4 linked regions of the Nothobranchius furzeri genome follow. The protein of the gene in region 3 interacts with the protein of the main gene of each other region in a pairwise test. Links are inferred from orthologs where the notes say so. Each region holds a gene or a part of one and is shown on either strand. Other genes may lie near its edges. The genes, in order: tcf7l2, ets1, daxx and park7.

Region 1 (8,733 bases), on a different chromosome or scaffold from region 3:
TCCTGAAAATGTACTTTTCCACCAGAACAACAACACATATAATGTTATGGATTCATAAAAGAATGCACAGAGAAACATAAAAACATACATTGAAGACCAAGTTCACTAAAAACCCTTTATGCTCTATATAAGATCGGTCACTCTGAGTTTCATATGCAGGATGAATGTGAAATAGTCTTCTACCCCTATGTCCTGTATTAGCCGCTGATAGAAACCAGATGAAAAAACGCTCGGATTGGAAAGGCAGTCAGTTTCACGTCACATTGAAAATGAACATTCATGGACACAGCCATCTTGGGTTGTGATAGGGAAGGCTGTTGTTGGTTAAGCATCCAGCAAACAGTGGAGAATGTCTCGGCTAGTAGAAGCTAACTGTTAGCATTAGCAACTCCACCACAAAACAGAACTCCTTCAGGCTTGTGTTATTTGTGGAGATAAAACATCAATGTTGCAGGGCAAATGGAGTCAGTGGGAGAGTTGTGTTGCTGTTATCCAATCAGAGGCGAGATCTCCAAATATCATGAATATTAATGATTAAAACTCTAAATTCCTCCATTGTACGCCCCTTCTCCTTCGTCTTGAGCCTGATTTATACTTCCCTGTCCACGTAGGTGCGGAGACACGCAATGCCACTATGCGTCGGCGCAAGGTTTCTCCAACGGGTTCACAGAGGATGACGGAGACATGCCCAACATTTTAAACATCTGTTGAAAGTGGCGGAGACTGCAAAATTGTGATTGGTAAGGACACCGCTTCCTGTATATTCATCACCAGCCCCGACGTTGCCCTGTTAAAAACTAAAAAGATTTTTAGAGGTAGACCCAGAACAGATTGAAGAGCGCATCGTGGAAAAAGTCAGAAAATATTAATGCTTATTCACCTGTGACTGAAGGAGTACAAAATGTGGAGCAAACGTGGACGGAAATGACTGGAAACATGGGTTTAGAGGTGGCGACCACATGAAGCGGTGGAGGAGAATGAAGGACAAATTTGTCCGCGTTATAAAGTCTCTGAAATATATAAACACATTAGTAAATACACTATTGTAGACCGGATACATGAGTGTTATGGTAGCAGGATACCACAGAACAGCGCTACGCCCTCTGTTGTCCTGGCGGGGAATTGTTTCGCAACACTCCGTTGCTTGAACAGAAGTTTGCATGTAAAAACCTTTCTGACACTCTGTGTGCGTCTCTCTGTTGTGGAGCTCATGGAGAAGTATAAATCAGGTGCAACTTTACTTCCTGAAACAGGAGCTTCAGAGCTTTTTTCCAAGAGAATGACTCACAAGGCGTCCATTCATACCAGAGACCACTGCAGGTTTATTGAAGTAACGAATGAATTGGAGCTTTAAGGGCTAACTTTGAGAGGACAATGTAAAAATATTGACATTTGCACACAAATACAACCACGCATATTAGTCATCTGATTTGTTTTTACTCAAAGAAATTATATACAGCATAAAAACGTGCTTTTCATAATCAGGTAATTCAGATTTCCTTCCCCCTCTGTTGCAAAAATAATGGTGAGGGCCATTAGTATGGATGTAATTACAGCTAACTACAGTATTGTCCCATTGATATAATTTATATTAGCTGCACTGGCTGGCACTGAAATGCCAAAAGATGTTATACTACACAACTCCCAACAATGGAGCAAATCTGCACTCCACTAAAAGCAACTGAGGTTAAATAGTAAGTCCTAATTAGCCGACGAACATGGCTGCAGGAGTGAATCTGCTACTATAAAACAAACAGAGATGTGTGGGGGGAGGAAAATAGGCAGAACATGTCCAGTTGTAAAATGTTAATCAAATAATGAGATTTTCCTGATGGATAATTAACGGTTTAAGAGCGTAGAGATGAATGATGATGTCATTCTCTTGCTATTTGGTTTACTGTGCAGTGATTTTCTTTACTAACTAAAAACACAAAGTCCATCAATGAGTGAAAATAGGTAGAAACACTCTATATGAGTTATATTTAAGTTGGCAGTAGAGTAAATGTTGTTTTTTTATGGCCGATATGTATTGGCAAATTTTGGGCCAATTTTCATGGCCGATGTTTAGACATCTTCTACCTTATTTTCCTGCTAAAATGTCACTAATGACATCAGCTGATGCACAAAACATTTGAAGCTGAATTAGTTTCAGAAAAAAAAGGTAAATATCGGCCGACCAATATATCGGTGTACCCATAATCGTCAGTGCAAAATCCATCCATGTTCATTTACCTGCAGGACTTTAGATTAGTGATTATTTTAATGTTAAACATGCTTGAAGGACATTATGAAAATTATATTTAAAAATCAAATCTGCATCTGCTTTGGTTTTTATAATGTAACAAAAATATTAGTTAAATGTAATAGATAGAAAATAATCTGAGAATATACTATGTTTATAACATTTAATACACAGGTTATGTAGTAAAACAGCTATTTTGGTTTGTTTAGATTTTTTTTGTGTTTCTGCCTCATGCAGGAAACACTATAAAGGTGAAAGGAAAGCCAGGAGGAACAAATATTTTATCTGGACACTTGAGAAGGAGTTGTCTGTGAGGTCACCTATTCAGATTAGGTGTTTATGTTTTGACAGCTTCTAACAGAGGCAGGAATCAGCTGATCAGGCTGGATCAGCATCTTTTCCTCTAGTTTCAGATGCAATGGGGAAGAGTGCAGAAGAGGGGACAATCCTCCCCCACCAGGAGTATGAATAGTACCAGAAGACACCGGGACACAGGGAAGGATCCTACTCCATCATTCAGGGCAGCAGCAGCAAAGCCTATCATCACATTATTAAAGGGTCCTGCAGATTAGAATCACCATCAGGGGCAGGTGTCTCCACGGCATGCGTGATAATGCGCTGCCAGCCCCCACTAAACTCTCAGGAACCTGCTGAGGCGATCCGGAGGTGGCTTGGAGCCCCCTCTGCTTTGGTCTGGTCTGCACGGGGGTCGGGTTTGGAGGGCCCCTGAGCAGCAGGGTGTGTCTTCTTCCATCGGCTCCCTGAACACTGACACACAGGATAAAAAAAACAAAACAAAACTGTAATGGCAACCCTTTCCTCCATGCTCCTCCTGTCTGCATGGGCTGCAGCAAGCAAATGCTGCTTTCACCTCATCCAGATAAAGAGCATCAATGATGGGCACCTGCTTTCATGGAACTGCCTGGTTCTGGGCGTGTTAGGCTCCCAGCACCTTGGTGCTGCACGTAATTCCCTATCAGCGCTTTCTGACAACACTGCTGACAGCAGATACAGAGGAATTAGTGTCATAATATTTGTTTTCACACGCCTTACGCCATGAAGACACGAGACAATATTTTTAATCAACAATTCAGTGACTTGTTTTGATCTTGCTCCTTTTTTCATTTCTGCAAGGCGGTGTCATCTGGATGCTTTAGCTCCGTTTCTTGTTGCCAAAGGTGAATTAATTGATGTTTTTGTGATTGTTGCTCTAGATTGAACCAGATAAGAGAAAACTGATGAGATAGTGTCAGCTGCTGTGATTAAACTGCAGGTTTGTGATGCTTAGGTGTTACATTTAAGATGTTTTTGCATTTTTATTCATCAGGTGTTTTTTTTCTTTATTGCATAGAACATGAGAAAAGTTAATAAGATTTGTTTTTGTCACAACAAATTTAATTAATATAAAATTAATAAAAACAAACCATAAAACCATCTTATATACTTTTTTCCATTTCATGTGCAGCAATTTTATTTCTAGATCACCAAAAACACTCAAATTTTCTGTCTTTTAAAGGTCCATCCAGACTAAAATAAGACAGAGCTGCAGCATCTGAGTCTGCATCCGTCTCTTTGTGTCCAGTAGCCTGGCTGCTGAGGAGGAAAGAGAAGAAGAGGGAAAAATAAAAACAGCTCAGTCTGTGCTGCCTGTGAGGAATTCAGGTTAGTCCCAGAGGACATCACACCTGTCGAGAAAGTAGGATGCAATAACACCCTCCATCCCAAAAAATAGATCTAAGGAAACATTAGCCAACATAATGAAAAATAGATCTAAGGAGCTGACAAAGCAGATGAAATAAGAATCGCTAACAGTTCTGAGTAATGTTGCTTTGATAGGCTCTGAGTATTTAAGCATCTGAATTTGCCAGAAGAATAAAAAAAACACATTTTTATTTAAACATGTAACATTAACTTTATTTAGCTGGGAAGTGTCAGCCAGGAGTAGGAGGGTGAAACAGCCGGAGGAAGCGCCCTCTTTTCCTTTCTTTCTCCCTCCTTCCACCGGGAGACCGCCCATATGTGCGTTTAATCCACATTTGCAAGCATCCTCCTATCTTCCTGCTATTTCACCCTCACTGTCCTGTTCCCAAACTGCCTTTTTCCCTCCTCACATGCCTTTTCTCTGCAGTCGTCCCCCCGCCCCCCCCCCTCTCTCCCTTTCAGTTTTTTTTCTTTCCTCCTATTTATGAAAACGTCACTTCAAGTCCCTCCCTGTTTGAATCTCATTAGTTTCTTGTGTGTTTCTCCCTGTCAATAATCCTGAATCCAGACTCTCTCTATTTCCATCCCTCTCTATCTGTCAATCAGCGCCGCCTTTGAACTGAAAACCACTCCGACCAACTTCAACTCACTCAATCCGGGCGGCTCGGCTCCTTCTCCGGCTTCCTTTTTCTGCCAAGATTCCCCCCTTCTTTTTTTCTTCTTATATAGTTTTCTACCAACCGCCAGAGCTTTGGAAAACGCCAATACAAGACCCCGCGTTTTTCTTTTATATAAAAAAAAACTTAAACTCGGACTACCGAGATCGCCGAGATCAAGGGTTTGAAAGTTTGTGTTGTGCCCCGGTCAGGAGAGCTTTCTGCACGGGAAACATGCCGCAGCTCAACGGCGGTGGAGGGGACGATCTGGGTGCGAACGATGAAATGATTTCCTTCAAAGACGAAGGGGAGCAGGAGGAGAAAATTTCGGAGAACTCCTCGGCAGAAAGGGATTTAGCAGACGTCAAATCTTCTCTCGTAAACGAGTCGGAAACGAATCAGAACAGCTCCTCGGATTCAGAGGTAAGTTTCGGATCGATCCCCGCTGAAGTTAGTCACAAAACAGAGGCCCTTGCATTTCCTAATTTTTAATGAAGAGTTTGGAAGGAGAAGTTCTCCAGCACCCTCGAGTTTAACGCAATCCTTGTGTTTCATTGCATTTCAAGGCGGAAAGACGGCCTCCGCCTAGATCTGAAACTTTCAGAGACAAAACGAGAGAAAGTTTAGAAGAGGGTGAGTTACTTTGGCTTGTTTTCTTCTTTTAACATTACATAAAATGTGCCTGACGGAGAGGGAATCTCCTCTCTAACTCAAATGTAGTTTTCAGGAAATTAAAAACTTTCCATGGCCACTTTAAAAAAGGTTTTCCTCTTTTTTTTCTCCCCCCACCCCCCCGCCATGTTAGCTGCGAAAAGGCAAGATGGAGGGCTGTTCAAGAGCCCACCGTACCCGGGCTATCCATTTATAATGATTCCCGACCTCACAAGCCCCTACCTTCCCAATGGATCACTTTCTCCAACAGCACGAACAGTAAGTTCATTTAATTTTCAGCTGGATTTCTACACACATTCCTCACCCACAGATACACACACACTGTGTCCCCGAGTCGGGGTTTGTTTTGTCACCCAGAAGAGCTGCTGCCGACAAAGCCAAGTTTTCCCAACTGTTCCTGAAGTGGACAGTACGGCGGCACGCGCTCTAAAAAATAAAAACTTTATTAAATGTCTCTCAATCTCAGATTTAGCAATTTTGGAATGAAACACACGGCGATATTCAAATTTTTGTTCTTCCTCTTAATAAAATTTTTGCTGTGCGCCAGTAAAAACCCAGTTAAAATGAATTATTATTATTATTTTTAATTTAATTTAAAAACAACACTGCTGAATAATGCAGTTGATTCGTGCTAGCATAGCCTCATTTAAAATGCCCTTTTTTCTAACACAAGCATGGCTCTGACACAGTAAGCAGTGTAAAACCACACCAATAAAATAAATATGCAAATGAGTCTTTTCTGGGTGATTTGCATGTGACTGAAACGTGAAAGGAAATTTTATGAAAGGTGCACTTGAGTAAGCCCACATTAACTGTTATATTATAACATATATAAAAATATTTTAAAAGTTGTAATTTGTTTATCTGATTGGATTGCGCAGCTCTGCTTTGTTGAGCATGTGTGCCACCCTTTGCTTCCTGGAGGTGTCCACAGCCTTTACCCAACGCATGCTGATCTAAAGCCACATTTCTAAATATTTTCATGTTAGTTATTTAGTCACAATCAGCCATTCTGTAATTATGCACCTCACTGGTCCCACAGGGGGATGGATACCTTAAAGCAGAATCATTTTCTCAACCATGAACCTTTAAAAAACAAACAAACAAAAAACTTGTGTTAAATGACTGCAATTACAAGTCTTTGCTTTAGGAGCTGTCATCTTATTTTACAAGGTTAAGGCGAAGACCAGGCCGTAGGAAATATGACCCACTAACTCAGCTTTGCTTAGCCAGATTTGTTACCTTCTGTGTTTTGTGTGTGTGTGTGAGTGTGTGCGCGCCCTGCATGTGCACACCTTGAAAATGAGCTCACACCTGACACATAATGCCTTCTTTTGTGTTTGACACAATTTCAGCTCTTGACTCAGTCGCCCATGGGCTCACGTGAAATAATTTGATCATTATTTATGAACGTTTTTCGCTGCTATGACCAATATGTTTTTACCACATGAGAAGGTTTTTGCTGTTTTTATTTTATTTCTAATCCTGCCTCTGTCTCTGCATGGTCCGGCCCTGGTTAACGCTGCTGCAGCCGGCTGGTATGTGGTGGGAATTAGTCACTGGTTGTTCTCATCAGCGCTGACACTAACACACGTTCACCACGGCTCTCGTGATTTTAAGTGAAGGACTTCCTTTTCTCAGTAGCAGAGTTTATTGGTTTTTCCTCTTTCTCTGTGTGTGTGTGTGTGTGTGTGTGTGTGTGTGTGTGTGTGTGTGTGCGTGTGTGTGTGTGTGTCCTGTTGCAGGTTTGCACAGCGCTCCTTTTGTTGTGCAGCTCAAATATGTGCATTCTGTCCAAGAGATGCTGCTGATCAGACTGCGTTGCCCTTTAATTTCTGTTTTCACACACAATAAAAAAAAAGAATTATATTTATCTTGCCTTACACCATCTGTAACATTTCCACACCTTGCAGGAAAAATCCGGACTAATTGTGCATATTTGCAGACAAACGTTATCCAGCCGACTCCACCTGAACAAGGTGGATCTGGCTCTCCGTGCTCTTCCTCCTGTCGGCCCCCTGCGTCTGCGGCGCCCTGTGTGTCCAACCATTAGGTCTTTGAAGTCAGCGGTGGCTGTAATATAAATCTATTAAACTTAAAGCTGGTATAAATAATTCACCTGGACATTGATTAGCTGTCTTGCTCTCTAACTTGTCACGTTAGGCTGTGAATATGACTGCCAGTATTATTACGAGAAGACTTCCTCTGTCTTGTCATGGAAGCCTTTGACTCTCGGTGCGTGCTCCCCCCCCCCCCCCCTTTTTTTTTGCTCACCTCTTCTTGCTGAGATATTTTATTCCCATTTTTATACATGTAGGCATTTAATTCAGTTTTTTTGGTGCAGTACATCTGAGTAAAATAGTCATTTTCCAGGTCGTTTAGTCATTTTCATCCTTTAGCTGTCACCACGTCTAATCCTTGCGGGCACCTTAAGCTGTTTGTGTTATTTTTGCGTTTGCACAGCTTGAGAGGGTGGGAGAGAAAAATAATTTCTGCATAGTTTGACCTCTGGGAGTCATAACAGTGAGAATTTGTTTTTCCCATCACCTCAGTCCAAACAGGTCTACAATTTAGCATCATTTAGTAATTTGACATGATGCTGTGCCCCCCCCACACACACACGTGCTGCAGGTTGAATTGGGGAAGCGGCCTGCCAAGTTCACCCTGGTTTTTCATCTCCTCTAACGGTCCTCCTTGTTCCTTTTACTCCCTCTACCCACCCTCCCTTTTCTTTTCTGTGTCTACCTTTTGTTTCCTGCTGTTGCTAACGCGGGGTTTTGGGGGGGGGAGGCGGCGGGTTAACTCCGGAGCGGTAAGGCTAACATCACACCTCAACAGGTCTGAGGACGCAGAGGCCGAGGGGAGGGAGGTGGAGCAGGATCTGGGCGGCCAGCTCTCCTGCGTCGGGGCTGCAGGGCCGTAAATCCACCGGCTTTATTTAGTGCCTCTCAGACTTATGAATGTTAAGATATTTGACGCCACTCCTGGCCCCGTATAACTCTCCAGGCCCGGAGACTTTCTGACAGTGGTTTTGAGTTTCGACGTGTAATTACGAGGAGTTTTTATTCCTTCTTTTTAAAGAACAAGTAGAGGTGGGGCAAACTGGGGAGGTGCTGGGTGAAAATGCAACACCAGTGGAAGGAAGAAAAAAAAGATGCTCCCAGAAGCTGCCGTGATTCTCCTTCCAAGGCTTTGCGTTCTTGAAACAATAGCTTTGGTTCAGCCATGTTGTTGCTGCAGATTTCTGCAAAAACTAAATCCACACACACCGTTTCTCATTAGGACATTACTGTTTTACTTAGCAGGATTCTCTAGTCAGATGCACAAGCGCCTCTTTGTGGTGCACGTGTATTCCAGTGGCCTTATGGGTGAGAAATAAAACCGTTTCTTAGACGTGTCAGTGGCGTGAACGTAACAATAGTGCATCATTTGGATTATGCGTGTTCGGCGGGTGTGAATGGC
Region 2 (7,949 bases), on a different chromosome or scaffold from region 3:
CTTGGTACCAGGGCAGCCTAGGTCACAGGTCGATGATAGATTTTGTAGTCGTATCATCTGACCTGTGGCCGTATGTTTTGGACACCCAAGTGAAGAGAGGGGCGGAGCTGTCAACTGATCACCACCTGGTGGTGAGTTGGATCAGATGGCAAGGGAACATGCCGCGTAGACCTGGCAGACCCAAACGCATAGTGAGGGTCTGCTGGGAACGCCTGGCAGAAGAACCTGTCAAGACGGTCTTCAACTCCCACCTCCGGCAGAGCTTTGACCACGTCCCGAGAGCAGTGGGGGACATTGAGTCCGAGTGGGCCTTGTTCCACTCTGCGATTGTCGAGGCGGCTGTTGCTAGCTGTGGTCGTAAGGTGGCCGGTGCCATTCGTGGTGGCAACCCCCGTACCCGCTGGTGGACACCAGAGGTTCGGGGAGCCGTCAGGCTGAAGAAGGAGGCCTACAGGGCGTGGCTGGTCTGTGGGTCTCCGGAGGCAGCAGACAGGTACCGGATAGCCAAGCGGGGTGCAGCAGTGGCAGTTGCCGAGGCAAAATCTCGGGCGTGGGAGGAGTTTGGTGAGGCCATGGAGAAAGACTATCGATCGGCTCCAAAGAGGTTCTGGCAAACTGTCCGGCGCCTCAGGAGAGGAAGGCAGCAACTCGCTCACACTGTTTACAGTGGGGATGGGGAGCTGCTGACGTCAACTGAGGCTATAGTCGGACGGTGGAAGGAATACTTTGAGGAGCTCCTCAATCCCACCAATGTGCATTCCGAGGAGGAACCAGAGCTGGGAAGCCTGGGGATGGACTGTCCGATCTCGGGGGCAGAAGTTGCTGAGGTAGTCAAACAACTACACAGCGGCGGAGCCCCGGGGGCAGATGAGGTTCGTCCTGGGTATCTCAAGGCTATGGATGTTGTAGGGCTGTCGTGGTTGACACGTCTCTACAACATTGCATGGTCATCGGGGGCAGTTCCTAGGGAGTGGCAGACCGGGGTGGTGGTCCCCATCTTTAAGAAGGGTGACCTGAGGGTGTGTTCCAACTATAGGGGGATCACACTCCTCAGCCTCCCTGGAAAGGTCTACGCCAAGGTACTGGAGAGGAGGGTCCGATCGATAGTTGAATCTCAGATAGAGGAGGAGCAATGTGGTTTTCGTCCTGGCCGTGGAACTGTGGACCAGCTCTATACCCTTGCAAGGGTGATGGAGGGGGCATGGGAGTTTGCCCAACCAATCCACATGTGCTTTGTGGATTTGGAGAAGGCTTATGACCGTGTCCCCAGGGGCACCCTGTGGGGGACGCTCCAGGAGTATGGGGTGGGTGGCTTTCTGTTAAGGGCCATTCAGTCCCTTTACCAGAGGAGCTTGAGTTTGGTCCGCATAGCCGGTAGTAAGTCGGACCTGTTCCCAGTGAGGGTTGGACTCCGCCAGGGCTGCCCTTTGTCACCGGTTCTGTTCATCACTTTTATGGACAGAATTTCTAGACGCAGCCGTGGTGTGGAGTGTGTCGAGTTTGGTAGCAGGAGAATCTCGTCTCTGCTTTTTGCGGATGATGTGGTCCTCCTAGCTTCATCCAGCTCTGACCTTCAGCTCTTGCTGGGTAGGTTCGCGGCCGAATGTGAAGCGGCTGGGATGAGGATCAGCACCTCCAAATCTGAGACCATGGTTCTCGACCGGAAAAGGGTGGCTTGCCACCTCCGGGTCGGGGGAGAGGTCCTACCTCAAGTGAAGGAGTTTAAGTATCTCGGGGTCTTGTTCACGAGTGAGGGTAGGAGGGATCGGGAGATCGACAGGCGGATTGGTTCGGCGTCTGCAGTGATGCGGACACTGAGCCGATCTGTCGTGGGGAAGAGGGAGCTGAGCCAGAAAGCCAGGCTCTCGATTTACCGGTCGATCTACGTCCCAATCCTCACCTATGGTCATGAGCTTTGGGTAATGACCGAAAGAACGAGATCGCGGATACAAGCGGCCAAAATGAGTTTCCTCCGTAGGGTGGCCGGGCTCAGCCTTAGAGATAGGGTGAGGAGCTCGGACATTCGGGAGGGACTCGGAGTAGAACCGCTGCTCCTCCGGATCGAAAGGAGCCAGTTGAGGTGGTTTGGGCATCTGGTCAGGATGCCTCCTGGACGCCTCCCCGGGGAGGTGTTTCGGGCATGTCCTGCTGGCAGAAGGCCCCCAGGTCGACCCAGGACACGTTGGAGAGGTTACATCTCCAATCTGGTCCGGGAACGCCTTGGGGTCCTGCCGGAGGAGCTGGTGGACAAGGCCGGGGAGAGGACGGCCTGGAGCTCCCTAATTGGTATGCTGCCCCCGCGACCCGGACCCGGATAAGCGGAGGAAGACGAAGACGAAGACGAAGACGAAAATATAACATTCAGACTGCATGAAGATCTAAGTGGTTGAGTTACTATCTCTGCCTGACCTGACTAAATGCTGCTTCATGGTTCAGAACGTTTTCTCATTTGCAATCCTCCCTAATAATTGATGAAACTCAGCTGATGAGAAGGAAAACTGTCAAGAAACCAGAAAGAAGCCAAACATATAACAGCATAAATTCACTGCATGAGGTTTCTAATCCTATGGAAACTTCCAGAGAGCGTTTAACACTAAGATGTTGACTTTATCTCCATGTCAGGCTTTTGCATTAGTTTACTGTGTCCGAAATGTTACGAGTAGCAAAATAATATATTAATTTATGAGATTAGCTTGGGATGAGGATCAGCACCTCCAAATCTGAGACCATGGTTCTCGACCGGAAAAGGGTGGCTTGCCAACTCCGGGTCGGGGGAGAGGTCCTACCTCAAGTGGAGGAGTTTAAGTATCTCGGGGTCTTGTTCATGAGTGAGGGTAGGAGGGATCGGGAGATCGACAGGCGGATTGGTTCAGCATCTGCAGTGATGCGGGCGCTGAGCCGATCTGTCGTGGTGAAGAGGGAGCTGAGCCAGAAAGCCAGGCTCTCGATTTACCGGCCGATCTACGTCCCAATCCTCACCTATGGTCACGAGCTTTGGGTAATGACCGAAAGAACGAGATTGTGGATACAAGCGGCCGAAATGAGTTTCCTCCGTCAGGTGGCCGGGCTCAGCTTTAGAGATAGGGTGAGGAGCTCGGACTTTCGGGAGGGACTCGGAGTAGAACCGCTGCTCCTCCGGATCAAAAGGAGCCAGTTGAGGTGGTTTGGGCATCTGGTCAGGATGCCTCCTGGACGCCTCCCCGGGGAGGTGTTTCGGGCATGTCCTGCTGGCAGGAGGCCCCCGGGTCAACCCAGGACACGTTGGAGAGGTTACATCTCCAATCTGGTACGAGAACGCCTTGGGGTCCTGCCGGAGGAGCTGGTGGAGGTGGCCGGGGAGAGGACGGTCTGGAGCTTCCTAGTTGGGATGCTGCCCCCGCCACCCGGATCCGGAAAAGCGGAGGAAGACAACAACGATGAGATTAGCTTGATGTACCAAAGACCATTTTCCCTGTTTTCCCTCCTTGTGTGTGCTCAGTATGCTGTTTCAACATTTGGACAGTGAGACACTAGCCAGTGACCATAAGAATGCAGCAATCGGTCCACAGCGCTGTCCACTGCCTCGTCTCTCAGACGTAACCAAACACTTCTGACTGAGTCAGCACTAATTGCTGAATCCTGATAAGTTATAGAGATGCTGCACTTTCCCTCCATGTTTCACTGACATGTGAAGTAGGGAAAAAATAAAGGTTTCTCTCTCTGATTTAATGCTCCAGAGATGGGAATTGTGGCATCAACAAGTCAGACAATTCCCACCTTTAGCTTTTTCAGCAGCAGGAACTGAAAACTGGGAATTTCCATCTTAAACTGAAGCAAGCTGAGTTCCTGCAGTGCAACCGTTTGTGTGAATCTGGAAACGTTAATGCACACAAGCTAAACAAGTAAAAAAAAAAGCTTTAATTAAATAAGTCACAAATCTGATGTAAGTGAAACTAATGGAGAGGATTTTAATGTTACAGAAATATTTATTACATGAGCTGATGAAGGTGATAAAGATCAGATGCAGAAATGATCCTACAGCTGCCAGGAATCACCTCCAAACTGTTGACTGGTTTACACGTTCAGGTTGTTCCACACTCAAACCGATCAGAAGATACGGCGCTGTTTGCTATCTTCATTCTTATAGCTCCACCATGCCTCTCTAACCTTCCCCTCTCGCTGCTCTCCATGCGGATCTCTGCAGAACCCTAAGAGTTGATCTCCCTGATTCTCTCACCACATCAGCCATCCGTGAAGCTGGACAGCTACTGATAAACGCTGCCAAGGCCAAAGTGGCGCTGTGTATCAGATTGGCAGTCACTCATTCTACCAGGCTGATGCACGGATGACACGTGACATTCAAAAAGTCAACTTTGCTCTTGGTGTTTTTATTTTTTATGCTGCTGATAAAACATTAAACAATTTCTGCGTTTGAAGGAAGTTTGCAAAAATCCTGAGATTTATAAAGACTTTGTAGCATTAATGACCAGTCTAACACGCATGCAGCTAAAGGCACAGCAGAGCTGTCACTTCACTAGATTGTTACACAAACGTCAAACACCATCTCCTAATTTTTGTTGACACATGAAAACTAAAATGCTAGAAGAGGCCTAGTGAACGGCCCTTTCCCCCTGCCTCACATCAGATGTTATACCTCTACTCTCAAGCGCTGAGTTCAGATGTTCCTTCACTAGTGCAGCCTTTAGCGGCAACATTTCTGTGATTAGCAGCACAGAGGAAGAGGAAAAGAACCGTACGACGACGCTCATTTAGCTGCAAGGCTTATTTGTGCAGAAAAACAATAAAATCATACAAGTGGTAGTTAAAACCCAAGGTTGTACTCTTTGCCAAATCTGATGAACTGTTTAGTTTATTCATTCGGCAATAAAAGAACTCCCACATTTGATTTTCAAAACTTTTGAAGAGGTTGTTGCATTAAATAACTAAATAAATCAAAAAGCATCTAAAGCTGCACTGCCACACTTTTTATGTCATTTTCAGTCAATGTATTTAAATTGTTTAATGTAAAGCTTGAATTTCTTCCAGAGGTCTTCATTTTGCCCTCCATTCGGGTTTTAGTGGCAACCATTTTTATCTCTGAGTCCCATAAATATAAAGCTGTTCTGTTTCTTCCAGCTAACTCCTGAGATACAAGCTGATGTTTAATGGCCTAAGTGTTCTCGGGTTTTAATTGAAGGAGCTAAAACACGTACATTAGTATGACTCTCACATCTATGGGCCGTGGAAAATTGCTTTTCAACAGCCACCCTATGCAGATAAATCACCCCGCAGTAAAGACGTGCAGAAGCACTTTAACTGTGGAACTTGTGCGCTCCTGCGACTGAACTGCTTTTTCTTTACAGAGACCAGCTGGAGGAGTTGCAGTGGGCCCTGAGACCCACCTCCCAGGTGTGGTTCACCCCCAGCAGCAGTTTTACCCCTCACAGCCCCTTCACCCCCACGACATACCCCTGCAGGAGGTACCGGACGGCCGTGACATGTGTCCTACAGGTAGGAAGGAAACACACTTGAAATCAAACAGGTTGTGGTTTCAATCAAATCATGCAGTAAATAAAAATTTTGAGCATATTTAAGAACACTCTCTCCTTCCAAAGGGTTTTAAACACCAGCAACCAAAAACCCTGGCTGTTACAGCTCTCTGAATGATTTTCTCTGGTTTTTAGATCTGTTTATGCATCACGCTGAATTTATTGTTCTCAGTAAAATGTGCAACTTTCACTGAACTCCATTTCAAAAGATGCTTGAATGAACTTTATGATTTTCGTGGAATTTCCTCCAAACTTCCGCCTTGGCATCAGTCATCATCCTAATTTAGGCCCTGAAGTCAAATTTGTTGCTTCATGTTGTTGTCTGTGTTATTAAACTGGGTCCCCATGTAGGTGAACAGATTTATCTTCTAAAATAACACACACACACACACACACACACACACACACACACATGCATGCACATACACACACACACATGCATGCGCATACACATACACACACACATGCATGCACATACACACACACACACACACACACACATGCATGCGCATACACATACACACACGCATGCATGCACATACACACACACACACACAAACACACACACACACACACACACACACACACACACACACACACACACACACACACACACACACACACACACACACACACACACACACACACACAGTACTTGCCTGCACTGTTATTTCTGGAGCTGCTGCTGATGCTGACCCTGAGGCCAATGCCTTTACCAGATATCACTCCCCCAGTCCCTCCAGTTCCATTCTCCCTCCTCCCAGTGTGTTTCTGGGGACAACTGAATACCCTGAATTCCTCTGCCTCCTGCTCTCTGGTTCTAGTTTTTATTTCATTGTTTTCTCATATTAGTTTTTTTTCTCTGTATTTAAAGCTGGAACATTCTTTCCAGTGCATTTGCCTTGCACGCGTTTGACTCTGGCCTTCTTTAGTTGACAAGAGTGATTGATGCTGGAGGACTGGGATGCATGCCAAGGAAGGAGGGTGGGGGAGTGCTGGGGGACACAAGCTTTCTTCCGTCACCTCCCTGAGCTGGATGCAGGGGGCAAGACAGAAGGGGCCAAAGGGCGGCCATCTTTTTCCCAAGCCTCTTGGTCTCAGGAGAGGTGGTGGTGGTGGTGAAGGGAGGGGGGTGGAAGCAAAGTGAGCATATTTGTGAGTTGCATGAGAGGGAGTTTGGATTTGATGGGATTTGCTGATGTTTGTTGCCAGAGACACACACTCCTCTCTGGCCCTTGCTTCATTCCTCCCAGCTCTAAACTGTTGACGCAAACGCTGATGCTGGGTGGAAAAAAATGACCGAGCCCTGACCCGATGTGTTTTCTTTTTCTTGTTTGCATCTCTAATCCAAGCAGAACACATTTCAGCTTTTTTAGACACCTGGAGACGTTAGAGTCATTTGCATCTTGCCATAGAGAGTTGCTGAGGTTTCTGTGCTAGGAGCGTAGGTTGTTATGAGTTGCTGCAAACCTCAAAAAGCAGCAGAAAAACCCTCTGACACACTCTCTGCGCCCGGAGTCGTTGGGCCGACTCATTTCTCTCAAACTGAACACGGTTTCTCACTAAACTGAGGGTTGGATCCTTTGATGTTTGACTCTTTATCTCAACGGTTGCTTGATTACTTTTTGAACAACCTCAGTTTGGAGAAATTTAGATCTTCTTAAAACAACTCCAGCCCCCAAATTGTCACACTGGTTCTTAAACCGCCATATGCAGGTGAAACTGGAAAAATCAGATTAAGGTGCAAAAGTTAATTTATTTCAGTAGTTCAAATTTAATAATTGAGGCAGACTCGTTACACACAAAGCCAGATATTGAACCCTTTAATTCAAGATTCAAGATCATTTTACTATCATTGCACAGGTGTGAAACGAAATTGACTTTAATTTGTTATAGTTGCGGCGATTATGGTTTACAGCTTATGAAAATCCCACACTCTAAATCTCAGACAATAAAAATATTGTGAAGACTCAAAGTGTCACACTCTAATCAGCTAATGAATCCAAAGCACCTGCAAAGTGTTCCTGAGCCTTTAGGTGGTCTCTCGGTCTAAGTTGGATTTCTGAAATAAAAATCACACTATTCTAATTATTTGAGTTTCTCCTGTATGTGTCAACTTTTCATTATTTACAAATAAATCATTTTCGTCTTCGCAGAAACAAATGGCAGCAGCAGCTAGATGTGGCTGCTTTACACGATTAGAGTTGACACCCTCCTGTTGTGTAGTTTATTATTGAAGGCTGCTTGATTAAGGGGGAAAAATCATTCACACAGTAGTTTAAAATGATATATTGTTTACTATCTGGTGTTCATATTTTATTTTGTCCATATTTAAAACTCACAACAGCAAACTTTATGCACTTAAATTAACTTTATAATTCATAAATTCAGCCATTTATCAAATAAATATTCAGGCAGTTT
Region 3 (8,385 bases):
TGGAGCACTTCCTGTCTGCTCGTACGTCTGATCCTCCTTGTCGTCCTCGCATGACTGACCTGCCTCGTTAGCATTCTCCTCCTCTTCCTCCTCCTCATCGTCATCTAAAGGAAACATCAGTAAAGTTAAGATTAAAATAAAAACAAACCAGTTTGTGCTGGTTGGACTGGAGCTTCTTACTGGTGTCAGAACTTCTAATTTTGATGATTTAATCTTTAAACCGAGCTAATCTGGATTAACGACACCGGGTCGTGACCTCTCCACGGGTCAGCAGATTATAATCTCCCGTTTGGAACTGTTATGGAAAAATTCATGTCTATTAATTCTTGATCATGGACTCAACCAACTGAATGTAAATGTATCGCTCTGTGCCTCTCTGCATGCCCACTCGTCCAGAACTCACACACACACACACACACACACACACACACACACACACACACACACACACACACATTGATAAATCCATGACAGGAACCGAGTCGAGTTTACATCAAATCTGAGAAATCTCACAAACAGTTTTAATCCCAGATTTAATCTGACCTGCGGCAGCCTGCTGAGTGCTGGCCTGGATCTCCTCCTCTATGTCAGGGTCTGATGATTCATCCTCCTCCTCGTCCTCCTCCTCCTCCTCCACGCCGTTCGCCTGACTCGTCTGTTTTCCTTCTTCTGGTTTCTGATCATGGAAGTAAAAGAAGTAGAGTCGGAGCGCAGATGTTAACTCCTGGAACTGTTTTGATGCTTCCTGTTTTATCCTCGGATAAAAAGGTATATAAAACAGCATTCCGGACCAGCAGGAAGGGAACATTCCGCCTCGCTGATGCGCCGGGATTTTTCCTTCACCTCTTTCTCTTTCCCGTTTTTCTCCAGTCTCCGGATTCTCTCCTGCTCCTCTGTGTCGTCCTGTTTCACGGCGTACTTTTTGATGACATCATCCAGACGAGACAAAGCCACTTCCCTGTTGGACCGTAGCTTCTTCAGCAGAGACAGGTCGGACAGAGCCGGGTCGTCAGCTTCCACCGGAGGAGGAGAGATGAGAGGATTAGGCACAAACATGGATGAATGAATGAAAGTATTCAGCGTGAACGCGGAGCTGGAGCCTCACCGGGCTTGTAGGCGTCGGTGAGACGCGAGCCGAAGTTGTAGACGAGGTCGAGGTGTCTCCGCTCCTGCAGGAGGCTGCCCGTGTCCCTGAAGGCCTCCTGGGCGATCTGACTCACCTGTTTCCGGTTCAAACACAGGTTGTGGCGCTCGTTGACGCGCACCACCAGCTGCCGGATGTCGTGATAATCCGGAGGGTTGCTACGAGCCTCGGGACTGTTGATGAAGCGCTCGATCTGACAGGAAGCAGGAACACATCCTACGTAAACGCTAATCCACCCGCTGGAATGACACCGAAAGAGAAGAACTCACCTTCCGGTTGATCTCAGGGAAGCGAGTCGTGTTGAACTTGATCTTCTGCTCGATCACTCGCCCCGTCAGCGTGTTGCAGCCCTTCAGCTCACACAGCTTCTCGTAAATCTTCATCATCTGGAAACAGACGTTAAAAAAAAAAAAGTCACCCGTCGTCCCACCGGAGATGCAACGTTCCGGGTTTAATCTGCCGCTCAGCCGACCTTCCGCTTGAGTTTGTGCTCCTGGATGTACGTGGAGTCTTCCGTCTCCATGTCGTCTAAAGTCAGCTCGGCCTGCTGCAGCCGGCTGATCTCATCGTTGTACGACTTCAGCAGGTTCTCCAGGTGTGCGATCTGGAAATCAGAGCGAGTAAAACCATAAGGGGGGGGGGTTCTGCTGAAAGGAAATCAGCTTTTCGGCTCATTTTACTGCAAATAAGTGAGAAAAAGTTCAAACAAGCAGGATTAAAGCCTTCAGAGATAAACACTCACCTGTTTCCTTAACGCTCTCTTAGCCTTCCGCTGCGCTTCTTCACTCTCCTCCTTGACCTCCTGACCTCCTGACGTCGAGGCTCGTTCTGCGGCTGGTTTCCCCTCCTCCTCCTCCTCCACTTTAGTTTTACTCTGGAGTGAATCGGGAGCAGACCGGGTGGCACCCGACGTCGATGCAGAAGGCTCCGCCTGGCTGAGGGCCGGCCTCTTCTTGACGCTGTGCTGCTTGAGCACGGTGCACAGTTCATTAATGTAGACGAATGTTTTGGAGCTGTTGGCCTGAGCGCGGGTCAGACATCGTCCCAGCGTGTTCCTGAACTCCACGGAGGACAGGAACTCAGCGCTGGCCTTGGCGTGCTTGGTCTGGAGGAAGGTTAAGACCTCTGGGCAGTCCTTAGTGAGAGACGTGCAGTGCTCCAAAAACTGGAGAAAAGGCAGAAAGGAACCTGATGAAGCGTTTGGTGAATCTGGTTTTGTTAGAGAATAAAACTATATACATATATATATATATATATACATATATATATATATATATATATATATATATATATATATATATACATATATATATATATATATATATATATATATATATATATATATATAAACTCACCACACTGAACAGCTTCTGGTTCTCTGCCTGCAGAGCGTTTACGCTCTTCCTGTTGGAAGCAAAAGGAGAGTGGACGATGTGTGTGGGAGCCTGCTGCTGACGGCGGGCTGGAGAGACGTTACTGGTTTGTCGCTTGGAGGAGGAGGAGGTGGCAGAGGAACACGCAGGTTCATCATCTTCAAGCACAATGATCTGATCTGCCAATGAGGCAGGAGCCACCGCCATCCCAAGTTCAGCTTGTTTCTGTTTATAAAACCCAAACGAGATGAAGGAGATCAGCAGAGCGGCGAGTTTATCATCGATAACGGTTAGGAAGTGACAGAGTTCTCTGTAAACCTCTAGAGTTGTATGGAGGTCGTTTGTTAATATCTCTGGTGATTTAAACCCTTTTAGCATATTTAAGAGAACGTGTGACGTTTCGGCTGTTTATATTCAACGCTGGTCCGCTTCCTTGCTTGGTGCAGCTCTCTTTAGGGTGCAAAACAAAAGTGTAGTTCTGAGACCCGATGAAGGAGGTGGCCTCAAAAGGTTGCAGCTTTGAGGCCCACACCCTCCTGTTATCAGACTTGCATTGCATTCTGGGATGTGAGTGAAAACGTAAACAACAACAACAGCTGCAGCATCTCACAACAAGCCACATATAGAGGATCTACTTCACTCGTGTTGATCAGAAGACTGGATTTGTCAGCTCTGACTCAGAAAATGTTCAAATTATTTATAAACAGATAAATAAAATATATTTATGTAATTGTGTAAATAAGGTTTGCTGAAGGTTTTTTGGTTTATAAACAGACTTCAGACTAAAGAGCAGATAAAACATCTCAGAACTTTTACAAGGTTTTTAATTCAGTAAAATAACGATTATTTGTTGTCGTCTTCCTCCGCTTATCCGGGTCGCGAGGGCAGCATCCCAACTAGGGAGCTCCAGACCGTCCTCTCTCCAGCCGCCTCCACCAGCTCCTCTGGCAGGACCCCAAGGCGTTCCCGGACCAGATTAGAGATGTAAACTCTCCAACGTGTCCTGGGTCGACCCGGGGGTCTCCTGCCAGCAGGACGTGCCTGAAACACCTCCCCAGGGAGGCGTCCAGGAGACATCCTGACCAGATGCCCAAGCCACCTCAGCTGGCTCCTTTCGATCCGGAGGAGCAGCGGTTCTACTCCGAGTCCCTCCCGAATGTCCGAGCTCCTCACCCTATCTCTAAGGCTGAGCCCGGCCACCCTACGGAGGAAACTCATTTCGGCCGCTTGTATCCGTGATCTCGTTCTTTCGGTCATTACCCAAAGCTCATGACCATAGGTGAGGATTGGGACGTAGATCGACCGGTAAATCGAGAGCCTGGCTTTCTGGCTCAGCTCCCTCTTCACCACGACAGATCGGCTCAGCGTCCGCATCACTGCAGATGCCGAACCAATCCGCCTGTCGATCTCCCGATCCCTCCTACCCTCACTCGTGAACAAGACCCCGAGATACTTAAACTCCTCCACTTGAGGTAGGACCTCTCCCCCGACCCGGAGTTGGCAAGCCACCCTTTCCCTATGATTATTAATAATAATATTTATATTTAGTCATAATTCAATTAATGTATCTCTAACTTCCCAGCATCTTACAGTAGTGATTTAAATATTCATAAACATTACATCAAAACAAAATACTTGTATGTCTCATAAAAGTAGATTATGTCCATTTCAGTTTCACTCTCAGGCATTTTGAAAACATTAAAATAAAATTAGACATTCCAAAGATTTCAAACGTTTGTGTGTAGAAATAATGTTGATGTCATATTTAGCCTAAATGTAGATGTTAAAACATAATCACCCTAACCCAATCATAATACATAAATGCTTTAAAGAATAATTTATTATAAAGTATTGGATTATTTGGGATTATTTTAGTAGAAACAAACATTTCTAATTAAGGACCTCTTAGGAAACGAGAATTAGCTTTTAATAACAACATTTTTCTGTGCTTTGCTTTAATAGTAAAACACTGTCGCTGTTAACTAAAACATCAAAGCACATGTTGTTAAACACGTTAACTTACATTCCCGCGAAATTATTAGCTTTAAAGGACAGAAACGAAACTGAAACGCCAGTAAACCTGAGATAATTCTGATCTTGTGTTAAAATAGATAAGAGCTACAGACAGTTGACCACAAATACCAAAAACACTTACCTCTTGTTTAAGAGCAGTTCGATGAGAAAATAAAGAACATTTGCGGGTTACAACGCAGCTGGTTAGCTGATGTTAGCATTAGCAACAAGTAATCATGTTTATTTTTATGGTTAACACGAAAATTGGTCTTAGTCTGTTTGTTTTGGATAATAAACAAAATAAACTATTGTTTAATTCTAGTTTTAACCCAATGAGGCTTCCTGTTTACTCACAAAAAGCTTCTAGACTTAGCTAAATTGTTAACTCGCGACCCGCTAAACTCCGACGCACGTAGTTGACTCTGGTTGGTCAAAAGACACGTTGGGATGAGTAAAGCCTTCTGTCATTGGACAAAAGGAATGTGTCTTTTTCTCTGGTTTATTTTCTGGTTAACTTTTTTTTTACCGCCACCTGCTGGAAACATGTATGACGATAGAGGTCTCCAAGAAGTTTGTTTTCCACGCCGAATTTCTACAAGTTAAAATAAATGCAAGCGTTTAAGTGGAATATTTCTACAAATTATAAAGCAGATGACAACAGAGACCAAAACTTGCTTTTCATGCAGAATTTCCTGCAGAATTTTAATTACATCTTTCTCATTAAATGTTTTAGTCCTGAATGTCTCAACTGAAATGTCTGTGGTGTTTATTTTCAGCTACAAACATATTTGTGTCAGCTTGTGCAAAACTTCCTTAAATTTATGCAAACATTCTAGTCAGGCTCTGACACAAGGCAGCTGCTGTTTAAACAATTCTGCAGGAGATGCACAACAAACTAATTTATGTGTTTTTAAAGGCTACACTGCTTTTTAATTTGTTGAAATATTCCAGAAGTGTTGGTTTATATTATTAAATATCAGTGGCGCCATTAATTCTAATGGTACTTGTTTGTTATTGAATTTACTTTTCTAGTTGGCACAATTCATCTCCTAGAAGGTTTTATTGAGGTAAAACATCTTTAATCAGATGAACTAAATTGGTGTTTTAAATTTCTAAACTCACTTAAAGTTATTTACATAAAATTAAAACTACAATCACAATTCCTATAATTAACATAAATACTAATTTATCACAAATATGCCTATTGGATCATTCCTAATCCCACAAGTTTATCATATTGAAAAAAACAAATTTCATATCTTCTATCTATGTGAATTGCTACTAAAATGGATTTTTTTTCTTCACAAAGATCAGAATTAGATGCTTGTTCCCCATAAAAGTCTTTATTTTAGTGAAGTTTCCACCAACACAACCCCTGACTCATAACTATGCAGAATTATACACAAAAGACTTTTCAGACTTACAAAAGTCACATTTCATTAGAAGTTATGGAGAATTTTAAATTAATTTTACTGTCTCCAATAAATTGAGATTTCTTGTCCAAATAAATATTTTTTTCTGGTATTAAGTTCAGAACAAAAATAATAATTAAATCGTTTTAACATGTTTAAAATGAAAATGATATTAAAAACTACATTATTTTAAACTTAAAGAGCAAGTCACCCCCAAATCAACTTTTTTCCCCTGATAAACTATATAAATGCGTGTCTAATCATGCTGCAGACACGTGTAGTCAATAAATTTGCACTTTAGTGCATTTTAGTTCAAATTTTAATTTTCTGCCTAAAACCGTCAGTGTTGTGCCGTTGTCAGGTAAAAACTCTGCACTGCATTTGAATTTAAATCTGCCATCACTATTGGCTAAGAGGTACCCAAGAATGTTAGCTGGTACCATATGATGTCACAATGTCATTGTGAGCCTGTGTGTGTATTTTATTAGTGGCTCCGCCCTCTCGGTCTGCTAGGCAACAGCATTTGTTGCATTTTTCAAACAGGAAGTGGGAGTGGAGCAATGCTCTGGTAGGGGGTGACTTGCTCTTTAATAAAAGCTTCTAAGAAGTTTTTTCAATTTGTAACAAAATCATTAAATAAAAGATAATTTTATTTATAAAAGAGCTTTGTCACTTTTAACGTGAAACCGTCACGTCGGTATTTACATAAAACAGGATAATTCCAGGGAATTCTCCCGGATTCATCTGCAACACAAAACAGTGAAAAATCCAGCTGATCCACGTTTAGACTCATCACCACGCTGGCTGAAGGAACAGAATATTTATCCGAGCTTTAAGCTGAAAAGCTGCAGAGAAGTCACGGAAAACTTAAATCCAGTCGTCTTCTGTTAACTTTATTTCTGCTTCTGTGAGGAAAAAGAGGGAAAAGTTATAAACATTAAAACAAAAAGTGAAGATGTTTTAGTTTCAAACCCGACGCTCCTTACCTTGTCCTGTCCATCTGTTTTATCTGAGCCTAAATAATAAAAAAGGACACAAAAGTCAGGCAAAAATACAAAAACTGGATTTAAAGAGCTAAAAGATGATTTTTGCAGCCTTAAGGGATTAAATTCCTGTATTTAATAATCTATATTATTCCCACCTGATCCAGTAAGGGTCCAGGACACAAACTTGATGAGTCCGTAGAGAACCAGAGCCACGCCCACCATCGCCATAGAGTCCTCAATGGAGGGAGAGCTGAACCCTGAGGGGAACAGATTAACGCCTAAATTACTTTCGTTTCCTGATTCATTCAGACATCAAAACTGATTCTGCTGTAATCATTTAATCCCTGAATAACATATCTGACTTTTTAGGAAACGATTGTAAAAAATTTTACTTTTTCCCTTTTATTTTCAGACCCTCAAAAACCAAAATTTCCATGTTAATCTAAGATATTTTCCGTTACTCCCAGATTACCGATGATGTTGAGGCTCACGCTGGCCCGCCGTGTTCCTCCCGGATGGACAGCCACACAGGTGACCTCCCCTCCGCGTCCCAGGTCCAGTCTGGACGTGTCCAGCTCCAGCCGGGAGCTCTGGCTGAAGGTGCCGTCCCAGGCCTGCTTGTGGCCCGACATGCTGCCTGTTCCCAGGGATCTGCTCTTCCCATCAGCACCTTTAAACTCCCAGCTCAGCTCCAGGGAGAGGGGGGCGAAGCCGGAGGCTTCACACTGGACGCTTATCGTCTGACCGGGAACAGCGAGGGGCAGAGGGGACGGGTAGAGAGAGAGGGACGGAGGTTCTGAGGAGAAGACAGGAACAAAAGTGTTAATATCAGGTTTATTAGAGAATTTAGAATAAATCAGATTAGCCTTTTCAATTTTCTCCTCACCTACTATCTCCAGCTCTATGGCCACCTGAGCCAGCAGGTACGGCAGGTAAACGGTGCAGATGTATGTCCCTGAGTGACGGACTTTAGCCTCCTGCAGGATCAGAGAAGCATTTCCTCTTGTGTGCAAACCTTCAAAGTCCAGAGTGGCTCCTTCTTCCCGAGTTTCAGCCAAACGGTCCGTTTTCCCGTCGTAAGCCAGAACAAGTCGGCCGTCACCTCTGGTCTGGTACCGCCACTCCACGGCAAAACCCGTCGCAGTCAGAGGGGAGGAGGGGTCGGCCCAGAAGCCACAGTCCAACGTAACCGGCTCCCCGAGTCTGGAGCTCGCTGACATGGTTTTACTGGTGACGCTCAGGACCACTGAGGAACCAGAAACAAGTAAAACACAGGTCAGGATATGTTTTAATCAGATTTGATCAAAGTAAAAACTCTTTACCATCATGGTCTTTGGTTCCTGTCGGAGCTCGAGTGATCGCAGAAACTCCCAGCTGCTCGTCGAGGCCCTGGAAGGAAGCTGAGAACCAGTCAGCCTGCAGGTAAATGGGACTGAGCGCTGATTCTGTCAGCGACG
Region 4 (7,442 bases), on a different chromosome or scaffold from region 3:
TAATGAGTGCTAACACTTGGTCAAGCAATAAGCAGTTTTGTCCTGCAACTATTGTTCTCCTTAACCTCAAAAGTTGAATCCCCTTTTGAGCTTGTAGTTTGTAAATTCTAGACGAACCCCCAACCTTTAGCGACTCCAGGCAGAAGCCAAGTTTAAATGTCAAAGTCCAACCTCTTTTTACCTTTCAAAATAAAAGCCTTCGTTGACCATGACGCAGGATGCCATGTAGTCCTGTTACTCTGGAGTTGTGATAACATTTTCATATTTGTAGATTACAGTCACAGTTGCAGGTCTGACGGGGAAAGAGCCAGTCCAGTGCAGCAGAAACATTGTCATCTGTCCTGATACAAGTTTGGAGGAAGCCAGCAAACAGGTAGAGCATTAAGACAAGCAGTCACATGTTAGGGAAACATCTCATGAGATGTATTTGTTGTGGGACGATGATGTGTATCAGAGCAGTTCCTGTTAATTTTGACGTTGATTCTACCAATTTCTGGATCATGGATCTAAAATTATAAGAATAAAGGAAATACATCAAAGAGTTACTTGAATTATATTTAGTTCTAAATGTTCAAATCTTTGTCAAAGATAACTTAGATTTTTTTAAAGACAGGTAATACTCATTTTGTTTGTGTCCAAGGGCCCATATGATGTGGTTGTCTTGCCAGGAGGAATGCCAGGTGCTCAGAATCTGGCAGAGGTGAGAAAATACTTACTTTTGACATTTTCATTGGCCCTTGTGCTCAGTGAGCAGCCACATGGCTCTAGAATTATTTTCATCAGATATGGTTTGCATTTGAAATCGATAGAATAGAAATAAAAACAAGTTTTTAACAACTTTTACTGTAAAGTATTTCCTTATGCTGAGTCGCATTTCTTTTGCTGAGTAGCTTGCAGATCATAATTGTCAAATATTGCATTTTTCTGCTGTAGCCCTTTCTAAAATTGTGATCAGAACATCCATAGCTGAAACATTTGATTTGCAGAAAGCTCTGCATAGCGGATACTTTTAAACACACTGCCTCTTTGTGTTATTACAGAATGGCCAGTGAATATGTATGGAGGGCCACATGGCCGCTAAGTGACTCTGTGTGCATCTGTTTTTCCTTTCTCCCAGTCGCCTGCTGTGAAGGAGGTGCTGAAGGATCAAGACAGCAGAAACGGCCTGATTGCAGCCATCTGTGCAGGTACAGCTTGTGAAAACAATCCAGCCATAATTATACACATTATCTAATAGATTTCCCTCTCTATGGGTTAAATATGGTGTGACCTTAATCTTGACAAGCATGTCTGGGACTAAAGAGATTCAGATTAATTAATTAATGACCACACAACAAGTTGGTGGAATTTGTTTCCTGTGCAGCACGACATGCTCACAACTCTGTGTCTACACCTGACGTAACTAAAAATAAACAGACAGGGACATACAAAAGCTTTAGGCAGTTACTTTATTTGGTGACCGTATAGCTGTTGGGGATAAAACTGTATTTGAATATATGTGATTTTGACTGTAAACACCTGTAGCGTCTTCTAGAAGGCAATAGTGTGAACAGATGATGTGCAGGGTGAGAGGGGTCCGAGGGGATGTTTCCTGCCCTCTGTGTGATGCGTCATGGTACAGCGTGTCAGTGGAAGGTAGGGTATGGCCTATAATTTTAGATGATTTGACTGTTATGTGTTGTTGTTTTTTACGTGAGTTGGAGTCCATATTACCATACGAGACTACTATGGGTGAGGTGAGTATAGTCTGAATGATGGCAGTGTAGAACTGTACAAGGACGTGGTGCATTTGTACATGGTTTGTAAAGGTTGATTGTGCAGTCACTGAGCAAGAAGCATCTGACTACGAATGGGATGGGCAGCCATCCTCTCACGCCTAGTGAATGACACTTTAGGGTGGCCAGTTAATGAATTTTGAAGTGCACAGAGATGGACTTTCTGATTTAAAGCTGCAAAGGCAAATCTGCAAAACAAGCTAGCTTTTAAACACAAAAATGGTCACAGAACACTCACCTCTCCCATCGGCTACTATCCCCTGGCCACGCCCACCTGATATAGGAATCCACGTGCCAGGGGACACGAGAGAGCGCAAAGCACCAGTTACCGTTTTCCAGGTCCAAACGTCTTTTGTTGACTTCAAATGGTGTTTTTCTTTTTGGGACTCTGGTAGATTGTCCTAAAGTTGAAGTGGTAGCAGCCGGCTGTTTCTCCTTCTCTGATATTACTGAGCACCTCTCACACCAGTGACTGGAGGACCCAGGTAAATGCAGAAATGCGGTGGCCCAGTGAGACAAACTACTGGCATCATATACGTATGTAGACGCCTCATAGACTGGCGCTCCCCATAGGAGCTGACGTATTAGCGCAGCTGCCATCTTGGATAGGTTCCTATTTGCCCCCAGTGCATTTATTTCTACTGAGAAAGGTGTTCACCCAACTACAGTAGTCCATTTTGTTAGGGTTTGTAAGAAAACCAGATCTGTGGTGTGACATGATAATAAAAATATAAATGAATTAATTTTATATTTTAATAAAACATATGTTTGAGTGTTCATTTGAATTTATTCCACTCACTTTCTCCCTCACACACACACTGGGGCTGGGGAGCTAAACTTGACAAAAAACTTTGTGGCTGTGCTGTCACGCTGTAACTCGGTAGTTAATATCGCAATGTGGTGCAGCCTTACTTTCTGATATAGAGACAACAAAAGACTTGAGCGTGAAACAATGATTTTCAGTTCAGAAATATTAGCAAATGGAGACAGAAGATGTTCCTCTGACAGTAAGCTGATGGGGCCACTAGCGAGTCACCATAACAGACCATCAGCATACCTGTATGTCTCCCATTAACCTGAGCAACTCCACTGTTTCTAACCCTTTTTCTTGCCTGCTTCCCGTATTAGTAATTTGAAGAAAAATTTCCCATTATGTTCATTCTGAATTAGCCGCAGAAATAAAAATAGATGGGGGAATACTCGGACCAGAAAAAGCCACACAGATTTACGTCATTTTGGAAATTTGCATTCATTAATTCATCCCTTATGGCTGCCGACTGGAAGGCTGTATTGATCTTGCAGCAAAAAAAAGCGGAGTGTGTCTCGGCTTGTTGACGCTAACTATTAGCAAGTACACAACATGTTTGGGCTTGTGTTATTTGTGGAAATAAAACATTAATGTGGCATTTTTACCCAAGAAAGGAGTGAACGGAGGCAGCAGAATAGTCGCAAGGCATTCAAACCATAACTCTTTGTCACCTGAGAATTTAATATTGAAAAATACTTCACTCTCTTCTTGCAACACTTTTTAGGTTGAACCCTCCTTGTCATTCTGCGTGAAAGGTTGTGTACTTGATTGTGTCCCTGAGTAAACCCGCACCCTCTGTATTTGACAGCTTTCATAAGCAGAGAAAGGACACATGAAATACAGTTGAAATGGGGTCAGGGAACCAGTGCAGCAAAGCAGATTGAAAGGTGTCCTAGAAACGAGTGAAAACCTCACAGGAATATTCTCTTAAATGGAAACGGCAAGCGTGCTCGCTGCAAGACTCATTGTTCCGACATCTTAACCTGGCACGTTTTCAACTAGATTCCTCAGAACTGCAATCTTGTTCCTCAGTGTTCAAATAGTAAAAACGTGGTATTCGTCTTGTTTTTTCTCCACCGTCTGACTCTTTCGTGTCCCTAACTGGGTGGAGACTCGTAACAGGAGTCGTTTAGCTTTGAATGGCAGTCTGTTGTTCTGCCAGAGGAAAGTGTAATCTTGAGACTGCACTGGAAGGCAGCCAAAGGAGTGTGATCAATAACTTTCTATTTATTAACAGGTTTTGGACGAGCAGTGCGGAGACGTCACCAAAGTTAATTCAGCAGCAATCGTCTGCGTCCTCTGCCTCTCCTTATTTCTTTTCTCTAACGTGTTGCAGATGCTTTAGCAAAAACCTGAAACTGTACACTTTGTGAGTTTATTATTAGAACCAACAATAGGGTTGAGGACACTTTTAGGACACAAGTGTTATCAGATATTTTCTATGTGTCTCATTCATTTATTATTTACTGAAATCCATAATCTAAATATGCAACATTCGGTGGAATTTCATACATCTGTTTTTCTCTGTGCTGAGCTTAAGGAGGAGATACTTCCAGTTAGCAGCCTTTTGTCTTTTTCACTATGAAAAGAAAATGTGTGTTATCTAACAGGAGGTTATAAAAGAAACCTTAATCTGCTTCGCACTTCTTCAGGCCCTACTGCTCTCCTGGCCCATGGCGTCGGCTACGGCCGCACAGTAACCACACATCCTGCCATGAAGGAGAAGATGATGGCTGGAGGTAAAAATCAATAAATATTAGAGCATCTTTTAAATAAACTATTACAGCTATCAGTGGGAGAGTTTGTAAGTGTTGGTGAAAAGCAGCAGATGGTGCTGTAATAGCTTTTAGTTGCCTTCGGAGAATCATGTCAGCAGCAGTTGGAGAGCACCGCCCGCCGCTCTGAGGTGAGAGTGGGTGCAGGATTTTGACAGAACGTGTAAGAACCAGGTCTATTTAAATGTTGACTAGTTATCTTTGTGCGGATGTGTTTGGAGGACTTATTAGATCTGAAATGCGTTGCTGCTAGCTTTTGGATCTCCATCATCCTTATGGTATTGCTCTTTGTCTTTTTTTAGACCACTATAAATATTCAGAGGCTCGAGTGCAGAAGGATGGACATTACATCACCAGCCGTGGGCCAGGAACCAGCTTTGAGTTTGCCCTGGCCATTGTGGAAGAAGTTTTGGGGGGTGACTTTGCAGCTCAAGTCAAAGCTCCTCTTATTATGAAAGACTAATTTATTTACAACTGTGCTAAAAGCACTGCCTGATTAACAAAAAACCCACAATACCCGAGTCAGGTCTTCTGCCACTGGACATGAAAGTGAAACATTTTCTTAACTAGACATGAGGATTTCTTTTCTAACATGTTTTGTTTTAAAATGTCAAATGCACCTTATTACAGTAAGATGGGTACTAAAGGAAAATCTGAAATAAAACAACTATTTTCACGAATTACTTGATTGTTTTGACCGCTACTGTTGTGCCACCTGAAAATAAAGCAATCTGAAGTTGCAGGTCATTGTTTTTATTTCACCTAAATATAGGCTGCTGAACAGCAGGAACGCGGGAAGACGAGTCCAGAAAGATTGGCAGCTTTTATGACCAATGAAGAGCTTCGGCTCGTCTGCAGTTGAGTTGTAATTGACCAATTACGTGTCGTGTTAGCCAGTGGGCGGTGTTTGGTAATCAGCGCGTGGTGTGTCCGAAAATCCAGACGGTCCTCATCACAGACAAGAAGAAAGACCAAGAGAAGGGATTTTGTAGAAAGGTAGGACTGTTGGGGTTTCTCTTTTACTCACAGACGTGAATGCGTGGCTTAGTACCCGCACCTCTTTCCCGCATTAGTTATTAGATAAACCTGCTGCCAGTTATTGTTAACGCGGCGGTAGTCACGGTCAAATAAACAAACCACATGGTTCGTCGCACCGCACCAATCTGCATATGTGCGTTGTCATTAGTGGGGGAGTGTTTCCGCAACAGGGCTAGTTTAGCCGAGATTAGCTCGCAGAGTGTCGAGCGTAAAGTTCGCTGCAGTCTCCAACAGACTGGATTGACAGTACCCCGACGAAGAGATTGTTGCCAGTGCAGCGCGCGCGTTGGCCCGCTCACAGATGCGCACACTGCGGTGCAAGTGAGTGGAAGCAGCGGGGCTTTAGATCCGCTGCACATATGTGAGGACACGCGGAGACATCAGCTGCAGAGGGAGCTCTCCATCCTCCCAGTGTCAGCCGCAGTCAGGCTGTCTGGCTGCTGCTAATGCGGTGCGGCAGAGGCCAGGTTAAGTCCTCCACAAAGACATCTAAACACTCACGACCAGTGGAGGAGGTGTAACCTCCAGCCATCATCAAACTGCATGAACAAATCTTCAGCTGACGCTCCGATCTTCACGTTGGCACTCTGAACAAGAACAACCCGTGGTGCCTTTTACAGGAAATGCAAGTTATTTCCTCACTGGTTAGCTGCACATTCAGCAGCAGTCATTATTGTTGCATGCAAGCCAAATAACATGTAAATGGTCATCCCAATTTAAAACTCAAGTGACCTTTTCACCCACCATTGTACAACCAGAGCAGCATTCAGCCCTCTAAAGAGACTAGACTATCACTGTTAAAATCACATCCTATCAAAATCACAAGGGTGCACCTGCCTGAAAAGTTCAGGCTAATTGAGCTTGGGTGCTTTAGATGAGGGTATGTCTGTCAGGTTGGCACATCATCATCATGCATGGCAGCCTGGAGGACTAACATGACCTCTTAAACTGTGGTTGGATGACAATGTATGGCACAATGTCATTAATGTTGTGTTTTTCAGCCGGATATTTCTGGAACATTTACATTTTTGTGCCATTCCACATCACATGTTAGAATTATTCTGCTTGAGCAGCTGTACAGTAAAGAGCTGGAGGCTTGACTCCCTATTTCTGGATGGGGCAGAAGATGGTGGGGTGGGGGAAGGGTGAGGCTGAAGTCTCCCTTCCTGCCTGAGTCACTGGTTTAGCTAATGATGCAATTAGACCACTGCGTTTTGCATCTTCTGATTAGATCCCTTTCTTGCACTGGCCTGCAGACAATAAAGACAGAAATTGCTCAGCTGAGTTCATTTTATTTTTAAATGGGTAATTTGTTACATGTGGACACGTTTTCTACATCATCATAAACAACTACACAGATTTGACAATGGTGTGTACCGTGGAATCTAAAATTACAGATCACATTCAACACAAAATTTAGTAGCTTAAAAAATATAAGTACATACAATTTATATGGTGTCAACATGACACAAAATCATTCAACCAAAGGAGGATGGGCCAGGTTTACTGTTTATTGACTGTGTTTAACAAAAAGATTTCCAAGAAATTTTTTTATGAATTGAGTTCTGTTGCAGAATTTTAACTGGTTTTCTAATCCCCCTTGTGTTCTTCCTGTGTTTCTTTTTAATCTCCATTGTATTTTTTTCTTGCTTAACACACAGCATAGGTAAAAACTTTGCTATGCTCTTTATTAAGCAAGGAAAACAAAAACAATGAAGACTGCTTTTCTTCTTATGTGTATATTTTACTATACTTCTTTGGTACCCCCTCCCAACATCCTATATGTATATAGAGTTTGGCCATGACACACAGAGCTCAGTTGTGGGGCAAAATCTACAGTTGTCTTTCAAACTGTCTCCGCATGCTATTGGACAACAACCAAGTGGCATACTTATCGCTATGGATGTCAATCAACAAGGCAGTTCATCATACTCTGTTGAAGAAGACACAAATACATTCTTTTCTAAATGGAGGAATTAAGTACCTCTGTCTAGTCTTGGCTCAAGGAAAAGCCCAAGTCTAAATGGTCCAAAGTTGATTCCAAAG

What was found.
Region 1: the proteins of daxx (region 3) and tcf7l2 interact in binary tests that used the Homo sapiens proteins (3 or more experiments, as listed by UniProt). The link is inferred for Nothobranchius furzeri from reciprocal best matches to the Homo sapiens genes DAXX and TCF7L2.
Region 2: the proteins of daxx (region 3) and ets1 interact in binary tests that used the Homo sapiens proteins (3 or more experiments, as listed by UniProt). The link is inferred for Nothobranchius furzeri from reciprocal best matches to the Homo sapiens genes DAXX and ETS1.
Region 4: the proteins of daxx (region 3) and park7 interact in binary tests that used the Homo sapiens proteins (3 or more experiments, as listed by UniProt). The link is inferred for Nothobranchius furzeri from reciprocal best matches to the Homo sapiens genes DAXX and PARK7.

What each region holds. Positions count from the first base shown.
Region 1 is NC_091756.1:39,556,753-39,565,485, reverse strand, and holds the start of tcf7l2 (transcription factor 7-like 2), read left to right. Parts: upstream 1-4,405; 5' UTR 4,406-4,833; coding exon 4,834-5,022; intron 5,023-5,165; coding exon 5,166-5,232; intron 5,233-5,404; coding exon 5,405-5,529; intron 5,530-8,733. UniProt on the Homo sapiens protein: Participates in the Wnt signaling pathway and modulates MYC expression by binding to its promoter in a sequence-specific manner. Acts as a repressor in the absence of CTNNB1, and as activator in its presence.
Region 2 is NC_091753.1:25,487,039-25,494,987, forward strand, and holds part of ets1 (protein C-ets-1), read left to right. Parts: intron 1-5,342; coding exon 5,343-5,490; intron 5,491-7,949. UniProt on the Homo sapiens protein: Transcription factor. Directly controls the expression of cytokine and chemokine genes in a wide variety of different cellular contexts. May control the differentiation, survival and proliferation of lymphoid cells.
Region 3 is NC_091759.1:22,795,322-22,803,706, reverse strand, and holds the start of daxx (death domain-associated protein 6), read right to left. Parts: upstream 4,813-8,385; 5' UTR 4,673-4,812; intron 2,743-4,672; 5' UTR 2,725-2,742; coding exon 2,500-2,724; intron 2,310-2,499; coding exon 1,887-2,309; intron 1,749-1,886; coding exon 1,617-1,748; intron 1,531-1,616; coding exon 1,414-1,530; intron 1,338-1,413; coding exon 1,106-1,337; intron 1,014-1,105; coding exon 844-1,013; intron 677-843; coding exon 544-676; intron 105-543; coding exon 1-104. Other genes in the region: tapbp.1 (TAP binding protein (tapasin), tandem duplicate 1), read right to left, coding at 6,836-6,847, 6,929-6,957, 7,084-7,185, 7,401-7,724, 7,815-8,174, 8,251-8,385. UniProt on the Homo sapiens protein: Transcription corepressor known to repress transcriptional potential of several sumoylated transcription factors. Down-regulates basal and activated transcription.
Region 4 is NC_091743.1:63,720,484-63,727,925, reverse strand, and holds the end of park7 (Parkinson disease protein 7 homolog), read left to right. Parts: intron 1-271; coding exon 272-373; intron 374-640; coding exon 641-700; intron 701-1,117; coding exon 1,118-1,187; intron 1,188-4,235; coding exon 4,236-4,322; intron 4,323-4,660; coding exon 4,661-4,821; 3' UTR 4,822-5,100; downstream 5,101-7,442. UniProt on the Homo sapiens protein: Multifunctional protein with controversial molecular function which plays an important role in cell protection against oxidative stress and cell death acting as oxidative stress sensor and redox-sensitive chaperone and protease.